Sus scrofa: one gene and its partner. Each later gene encodes a partner of the first gene's protein in a complex. Links are inferred from orthologs where the notes say so. Each region holds a gene or a part of one and is shown in the gene's direction. Other genes may lie near its edges.

The links. The genes of interacting proteins can lie anywhere in the genome.
Region 2: the proteins of C2H19orf35 (region 1) and YWHAB are in contact, whole or in part, in a cryo-EM structure (PDB 8DP5), measured with the Homo sapiens proteins. The link is inferred for Sus scrofa from reciprocal best matches to the Homo sapiens genes PEAK3 and YWHAB. Residues at the interface, in NP_940934.1 of Homo sapiens: Arg66, Thr67, Gln68, Ser69, Leu70, Pro71, Thr72, Arg73; in NP_003395.1 of Homo sapiens: Val48, Lys51, Asn52, Arg58, Lys122, Arg129, Tyr130, Gly171, Leu174, Asn175, Val178, Glu182, Ile219, Leu222, Asn226, Leu229, Trp230.

The regions. Positions count from the first base shown.
Region 1 is NC_010444.4:76,283,947-76,287,962, forward strand, and holds the start of C2H19orf35 (putative uncharacterized protein C19orf35 homolog), read left to right. Parts: upstream 1-1,216; 5' UTR 1,217-2,024; intron 2,025-2,281; exon of another isoform or gene 2,282-2,441; 5' UTR 2,442-2,445; coding exon 2,446-2,527; intron 2,528-3,020; coding exon 3,021-3,559; intron 3,560-4,016.
Region 2 is NC_010459.5:47,296,774-47,300,819, forward strand, and holds the start of YWHAB (14-3-3 protein beta/alpha), read left to right. Parts: upstream 1-1,246; 5' UTR 1,247-1,465; intron 1,466-4,046. UniProt on the Homo sapiens protein: Adapter protein implicated in the regulation of a large spectrum of both general and specialized signaling pathways. Binds to a large number of partners, usually by recognition of a phosphoserine or phosphothreonine motif.

The DNA.
Region 1 (4,016 bases):
GGACCTGCTGTGTGACCCTGTGTGGACTACAGCCCTCTCTGGGCTCACTGCCCTTGAGGGAAATGAGAGGGGGCCAGGGAAGAACCTGAGCGTGAAAGATCTCAAACTACAAAGCAAAAATGTCTGCATCTGCAGTGATTTCTTGGGTCGTCATTACAGTGGGGGAGGGGCTGTGTTTGCAGCTAGGTTGTCTTTCCTGACAGCAGCCCAACAGGGTGAGCCTTAGGCCCCCAAACAGTGGTTTTTTTGTTTTTTTGTTTTTGCTTTTTAGGGCCACACCTGCTACATATGGAGGTTCCCAGGCTGGGGGTCTAATCGGAGCTACAGCTGCCGGCCTATGCCACAGCCATAGCCACAGACACAGCAATGCCAGATCCGAGCCACGTCTGCAACCTACATTTCATCTCATAGCAATGCCAGATCCTTAACTTACTGAGCGAGGCCAGGGATCGAACCCACAACCTCATGTTCCTAGTCGGATTCGTTTCTGCTGTGCCACAAATGGAACTCCCCAAACAGTTTGGACACTGTGTGCTTAAGCTAGAATTTCACACTGCCTGGTTTTCCCAGGTTTTTACCATTCTTGATTTTCCATGTATGGTAATTCTTTTTGGTCACACCTGCTAACATGTGGAAGTTCCCAGGGCAGGGATCAAACCCGTGCCACTGCAGCCACCTGATCTGCTGCAGTGACAACGATGGATCCTTAACCTGCTGATCCACCAGGGAATTCTCCAGTATGGTAAATCTATCTCAAATGTTTTTTTCTTTTTTTTTTTTTTTTGGTTTTTAGGGCTCCACCTGTGGCATATGGAAGTTCCCAGGCGAGGGATCAAATTGGAGCTGCAGTTGCTGGCCTACACCACAGCCACAGCAACGGGGATCTGAGCCACATCTGCACCACAGCTCATGGCAAAGCTGGATACTTAACACACTGAGTGAGACCAGGGACCGAACCCACATCGTTATGAATGCCAGTTGGGTTCATTTCCACTGAGCCACAGCAGGAACTCCTCAAATGTCTTTCTTTCTTTTCTTTTCTTTCTTTCTTTTTCTTTTTTTTTTTTGTCTTTTTAGGGCCATTCCCGTAGCATATGGAGGTTCCCAGTCTAGGGGTCGAATTGGAGCTATAGCTGCCAGTTTACTCCAGAACCACAGCAACGTGGGATCTGAGCCTTGTCTGGGACCTACACCACAGCTCACAGCAACACCAGATCCTTAACCCACTGAATGAGGCCAGGGATCAAACCTGCATCCTCATGGATGCCAGTCGAGTTCGTTAACCCCTGAGCCACAATGGGAGCTCCTCGAATGTCTTTTTCTAAATAAATGCATTAAGGCAGTGGGGACAGGGAAGTGAGATGATTACACGTTAATGAAAAATCCAGCTAGTGTGGCTGTCAAGAGGCAGCAAGCAGGGACCACTTTTCTTTATTTGCTGGAACACAGAGAGGGGTGGTGTTTGCCCAGCGTCACACAGCAAGTCAGAGCTGAGCTGGAGCTGAGCTGGTGCTTAGGCAGCAAACTGCTCCCAGTCCAAGGGTCCTAGGATTGGCAGGAAGTGGGGTGCTTGCACTGGGGGCTTCTCAGACAGTCCTGCAGGGAGACGTGGCTCTGGAGGGGTGAAAACCTCAGAGAGAAGGGTCACCCAGTCAAACTTCTCCTTAAACAGTTGCTGCTGGAATTCCCTGCCCTCCCCAAAGGTACAGGGGTCTAAAATGTCTTGCTTCCCTCTGTCTCTCTGAGTTCCCCCCTACTGCCCACCTTGTGTAAACTTTAGGACTTCTCCCAGTCTTCTCATCTCCCCCCATCCCTTGTAGCCCTGGAACCAAGGCCAGCAGTCATGGGGAAGTAATGCATAAAGCACCCCCCCCTGCCCCAGCCTGCGGTCTAACAGTTGTCTGGGCATTTCCGGTTCACTGCCAGCAACCGGTCAGACAGTCCGGCAGGCCAGGGGCTGCAGCTATTGGGAGTTTGCACCCAAGGCCCCCCCTCCCTGCCCCAAGGTCACACCAGTCCTGAAGGTAGGCCATTCCTGGAGGGGGTGGGGTGGGGTGGAGGGGGTGGGGTGGGGAGGGGGTGGGGTGGGGCAGAAATGGCCAGTTTTCAAGGTTGGGGTGACCTGGAATCTGGGTGGGGCAGGGCTGGGGGCCGGGCTGCTGTTGGCAACTGCACAGCTGAAGGGGGCTGAGCTCTGGGGAAAAGGCCTAAGCTTGGGTCCCTGAATACTGTCACCAGCCTCAAGCTGTCCCCTCCCCCCCCACACCTCTTGCCCTCACAGCTGGATGTCCTGCCCATGTCACAAAGAGTCAGGGCACTTTCCATTGCCCTGAAAAGTTGATGGGTGACATTTGCCCAGAGAAGTCAAGCAACCCTCCCAGGGCCACACAGCAGGTGCAGGACCCCACCCACACATGCCCTGTACTCTGACCTTCCCCCAGCAGCATGAGTGACCCGGAGCCACCCACTAAGACCACCGGGGTCAACACCCCCACCTGGCCTACTCAGCCCACGTACAGCAACCTTGGTGAGCGCTGGGGTGGGGCCCTGGGTGGGATATGGGACAAGTGGCTGTCCCAGGCAGCCAGAGCATAGAGGTAAAGTCTCTCGTTACCTTCTAAAGAATGCTCTGCCCAATGATGGTTTAACTTGATTATAGCAGCTTTTAAATTATCTTTAATAAGCTCTTTGTTTAAAGAAAAAAAAAATAGCTGGCTTTCACTAGCTTGTAAAAATGAGGAAACGAGTTCAAAAAGGCTCAGTCACCTGGCCAGAGCCACACAGGGAAGTGGGGGTCGCCCATGCTGGGCCGGATGTTTCTCTGCCTCTGACCTGTCCCTCCTCTGAACCTTCGTTTCCTCATGTGTAAACTGGAGAGGGCATTCTTAACCCACAGGGTCGTTGGGCTGGCTGGTATTTTTTCCATTTTAGACATGAGGGAATCAAAGCTGAGGCTGGAGTCGTGGGCCCAGGACCACACACTCTGGGCATCCTCAAGCCCCTCCCCACTCCCCCAATAGGTGAGGTCCGTGCCCACCTGCTGCCTTCCAAGCCCTGCCGCCCCAGAACACCGGAGCCTCCCTTGGCTGACCCGCAGCCCCTGCCTCCACCCCTGCCCAAGAAGACCTTGACCAGGACCCAGTCACTGCCCACCCACAAGGCCCCCAGTCCCAGCCCTGTTCAATCAGGGCAGCATCGGAAGCCGCTTCTGGGATCCCTCAGTGTGGACGAGAGCAGGGCAGGCGACCAGAGGGTGGAGCCAGCCCGTCCGCCTGCAGAGCTGCCCTTCTGCTCGCTGGACGCAGAGCTGGGCCTCTCCCTCCACGACCTGCACCGCCCGGAGGCTGTGCACGCAGCGCTGGAGGCCAGGCAGCTGGAAGGCCTGCGTGTCGTGCACGCCCGGCTGCACGCCCGGCTCCTGGGGGGCCGCCCCGGCCCCTGCCGCCCCGGCCACGACTTCCGCCTCTTGGACAGCTCGCCCTGCTTGGAGAGCGGGGACGCCCTGTACTACCGCCTGGTGCGCGCGGATGAGGAGGCGTGGCACCTCCTGGCTGCCAAGGTGAGCCCCGCCCCGCCCCGCCTCCGCCCCAGCTCCTGGGAGGTTTCCCCAATTTCCAAGACATAACCCAGGGCACTTTCGGCCTAACTGCTTATTTTGCAAATAACACATAAATGAACACCGTCTGCCCGTGGAACCACGTTTCTAAAGTGTGGGCCACCTACATTCGAATCTCCTGGGAGTCTTGTTAAACTCTCCCCACGCCTCCCAGGGTCCTCTCCAGTGAGTTCCTGCACCAGAAAGCCACAGTCGGCTGATACTTACCACTTTCACCACCATCACCTTTGTCGACATTGTCATCATTGTCGTTTTCAACAATCACCAAAATGTACTACTGAGCACTGTTCACGTCTTGCCCTGTTGTAAGGACTTTTAGGCACTTTCATTCAGCTAATCCTCATGTGAGCACTGCCATGTTTTGTTACAAAATGCTTCCGTTTCGTGCACCTCTAAGAGA
Region 2 (4,046 bases), on another chromosome or scaffold:
GACAAAGCCAGATCCTTAACCCACTGAGCCACCAGGGAACTCCTAGAATGGGGTTTTGAAAAGATCATTTCAGGGAGTTCCCATTGAGGCTGAATGGGTTAAGAACCTGGCATTGCAGAGGGCTGCGGAGTAGGTCACAGATGCGTCTCGGATCTGACGTTGCTGTGTCTGTGGCTTAGGTAGGCAGCTGCAGTTCTGATTCACCCCTAGCCCAGGAACTTCATATGCTGCGGGTACGGCCCTTAAAAGAAAAGAAAAGAAAAGAAAAGATCATTTCAGCAGTTGATGGGAGCAGGACTGGGGGTAGCGTGAAGAGTTAGAAGTCTATCATTAAGCTAAAGCAAAGGAGAAATGACAAAGGCTTATCTATTTACTCTGTTCTATTTCGTATCAGACTATAAACTCCAAGACAGCAGGGCCACGTCTATCTTGTTCTTGCTGTGTCTCCAGCACGAAACAAAAAGTCTGCTTCATAAATATTCGCTGAAAGAATGAATGAAAGGGAGGCAGTGGAGGTGAGGCATTTTGAAGAACTGGGCTTAATAGTCACTGGCCTTGGCAAGGGCAGAATGGTGATAAATGGTGAGAGCAGATGGGAATGGGGTGGGGGGTGTCGTGGAGCCTGGTTCCTTAAGATTCCTTTAAGAGCTTGGGTGAGGGGGTATTCTATCACGGACACAGGCTTCCAAAAAAAAAAAAAAAAACAACACTTCACAGGTCTAATTCCTGGCCTTCTCGGTTCACAAAAGGAGGAAATGATCAGTATTTTGAAGGACTGAAGGGAGGATTAAGGAAAAATTTAGCAAAAATTTCTGTCCTTCCTTAAACGCAGTGTTTCCAAAGCACACAGCAAAAGGGGACTAACTTCAACCTCACTCAGTGACGATGATTTTTTGGGTGGGGTGGGAACCAATGACCTCAGAGACTCTGGGCCCGGCCAGGGCGACTCCCTAGCCTAAGCCTCAGGCCCGCCCAACCCCAAACCTTGCCCAGCCCCCTCGTTTCCACATGTCGCTTTTCTAGATTCCCCCCCTCAGCCCCGCCTCCACTCCGCCCACCTCCTTTTTCAGCTCCCCGCCCCCATTTCCGTCCCCCTACACCCGCCTCCTCCTAGCTCCCTACCCCGACCCCCGCCCTCCCCCCGGCCGCAGCATCCCGGCCCTTAGCTCTCCTTCCTCCTCCCTCTGTCCGCGCCCCTCTCGGGCGGCCGGGGCAACCCCGTGCCCTGCTCACCCAATGAGGAGACGGCTCAGGGGCGGGGCTCGAGCCGAAGCGGAAGTGGTGACCGGAGCGGAAGTGGAGCCGCCGCCACCGCCGCCGCCGATTCCGGAGCCGGGGTAGCTGCTGCCGCCGCCGCCACTGCAGCTGCCGCCGCTGCCGCCAGAGGAGTGGGCTTGGGAAAGAAGCGGTCACCGCGCCGGGAGCTCCGCTCGCAAGCTTTTTTGCCCCCTGCAGCCCTCCCACGGTGAGTGCGGCGCGGGGTCCGCCCGGGGCCCCCAGGGGCCCAAGCTCCAAACTACCCCCCCCACAGGCGGCGGCTGCAGCAACGAGGGCGACCCGCAGGTGGGCCCGGGTGGCAGCGGCGCGCGGCCTGTTCAGCCCCGTGCGGCCGCCTGCGGCGCGGGCTCGGCCTCGCCGCGGCCCCTCCCTGTTTCCGGGGCCGGGCCCTTAGCTCTGGGAGAGGCCCCGGCCGCCCTCGCCGCCTGCGGCCCTGCCCGGCGGGCGGGGTGCGGCTCTGTGCCGGGCCGGAAGGGAATCGTGTCCCGGACCCCTGACCGCCCCTCATCACCCATCTTCGATTCCCTCGAGACCCCTCCCTGCGCCTTGAGCAGCCAGAACCGACCCTTTCAGCCCTGTCACCCCCTGCGCCTCGCTTTCCGGTTCCCAAAAATGAAATTTAACCAAATGCAGGCGAGTTCTTGAGCCGCAATGGCCCTGCTCGACTCCCTCTGGATGGGTAAGGGGTTTAACCTTGGGAGAGAGCAGAGAGAAGACCCCCTCCCACTTTGCAGTAAAGCCATTTCATCATCGTTCGCTGGTGCGGGAGCCTGACAGAACCCGAGATTCCCTAGGAAGCACAGGGTTGAGGTTTGAATCGAGAAAATGCGTTTGGTGGAACCGGTTACTGAGTCAGGCCGGACCCCCAGAAAAAAAAAATAAATAAAAAATGTCAGAGGTTGAGAATCGGAATATTTTCCCACGTTATTTCCCATCATTTAATGCCAGAGTCTCTTTTGTCCTCGCCCCAAATTCCCCTATACTGTGGGCTAGCACGTTTTTAGGACTGAAATTTGCCCGGTGGTGGAGAAGGGGTGGGTGTGATTAGGCCCCTTTTCTTCCCAAGATGAATACATCTTTGTCTCTTGCAAATGGAGAACTCACGTGTAATGGGGCTTTCAAAGGCGGCAGTATTGGTAAGACAGTTTGCCAACCTTTCTGTGAAAATTCATGTCTTTTGTCCTTGCCGTCACTGCTTTTCCCTTTGGTAAGGCTAGATGGCATCAGGTTCTGATTTTGCTTGCCCTGTGTGGGAGACGGAATTTGGCAATCAAGCGGCTACAGGAGCCAGAACAGAAGGATGAAGCACTTGGAAGAATGTGAAAATTGTCTGCATTTCTCACTCTGTCTCAGTTGTTCACATGAAACCGCACACGTATGTGGTTTATAGAACCAGACACGTGGGTACTCAGTTTTTTGCATTTTCATGTTAGAAATTTATATATGTTAATATTACTTGGTTCTTGGTCATTTCCTTCTTGACTGCTTCCAGAGCACCCCTTTTCTTATCTAGGAACGTGTCAGGGCCCTCATTTTTCTTGGATCTGTGTTCTTAGCACAGGTGGTGAGGGTAATATCTGTCAATTTGACTGGACCCAGGTTAGAATTGTACAGGTGATCTTCACAGTGGAAGGCTAATAATAATCCAGAAGCAACTGCTGAATTATTTTCCTGGTCTCTCCTTTCAGTGAGATAAGAAACCATTCATCCATCTAACCCACGAAGTCTTTATGAGAAATAAGATGCTTTGGCCTAGACCACACACCTGGTTTTCAGGTTGAATATCCTCATTCATCAGTAGCAAATATTTATGGCCCGTCAGCCCCTGGAGTATGGCTCCTACCCTATAATCTTCTGTACATTTCCCATCATGCAGTGCTTGCATTACATTGAAGCCATTTTAGAATTGGAGCTCTGTAGATCTGGAAGCAGCCTGCAGAAAACCAGGCTGAGCAAATTCCCACAATGCCAGTTCTCAAGGCAGAGTCTCCAGAGATTCGGGCCGCTGCAAAAAGTGCATTTTACCCATTTGGCTGTGGCTGTTGAAGCAGAGAGAGCACTGGACTTGGAGTCAGGTAAATTTGATTCCAGTTGTGTTTGCAGCATTTTCTAGCCGTGTGCAGCTTAATCTCTGCTGCTTGGTTTTTCTATCTCCAGAGTTGTCAAGAGACTTTCTCACAAACTGTAAATTGTTAAATATAAGCCTCTAGTTTTGTGTTTGAATCACAGGGTTCACTATTAAGGGCTTTCTTTTTGCCTTGATTACATTCTGAGGAGACCCAATCCTCTTTGTATACATGTTGCTTTCAAAGAATGATACATCATGATAAAATTGAACTTTGTGTAGAGCCTCTTCAGCCTTTTCTGAGCCCATTTTCTCATCTGACCAGTGCCAGTGGTAATAGTGTTTGATGTGTTATTGCGACAGACTCAATAATTAAAATCAAGGTGTGAGATCTAACTAGATGTTTGGTAAATGTTTTGATTGTATTCATGAATATTATGCATATATGGACTAGCTACCATTTATATGTGCTGAGTGTTGCTCTCAGCACATACACATTAACTAAGCTTTCATAACAACCAGTGGTAGGTAAATACTGTTAGCCACATTTTACAATTGAGGAAATTGAGGCACAGAGAAGTTAAATAATTTCCCTGAGGAGATGCGCGCGCGCACACACACACACACACACACACACACCTCTCGCTGGGTAGGTGTTGGAGCCAGGAATCAAAGCCAGGCAGTCTGGCTCTAATGATAGATT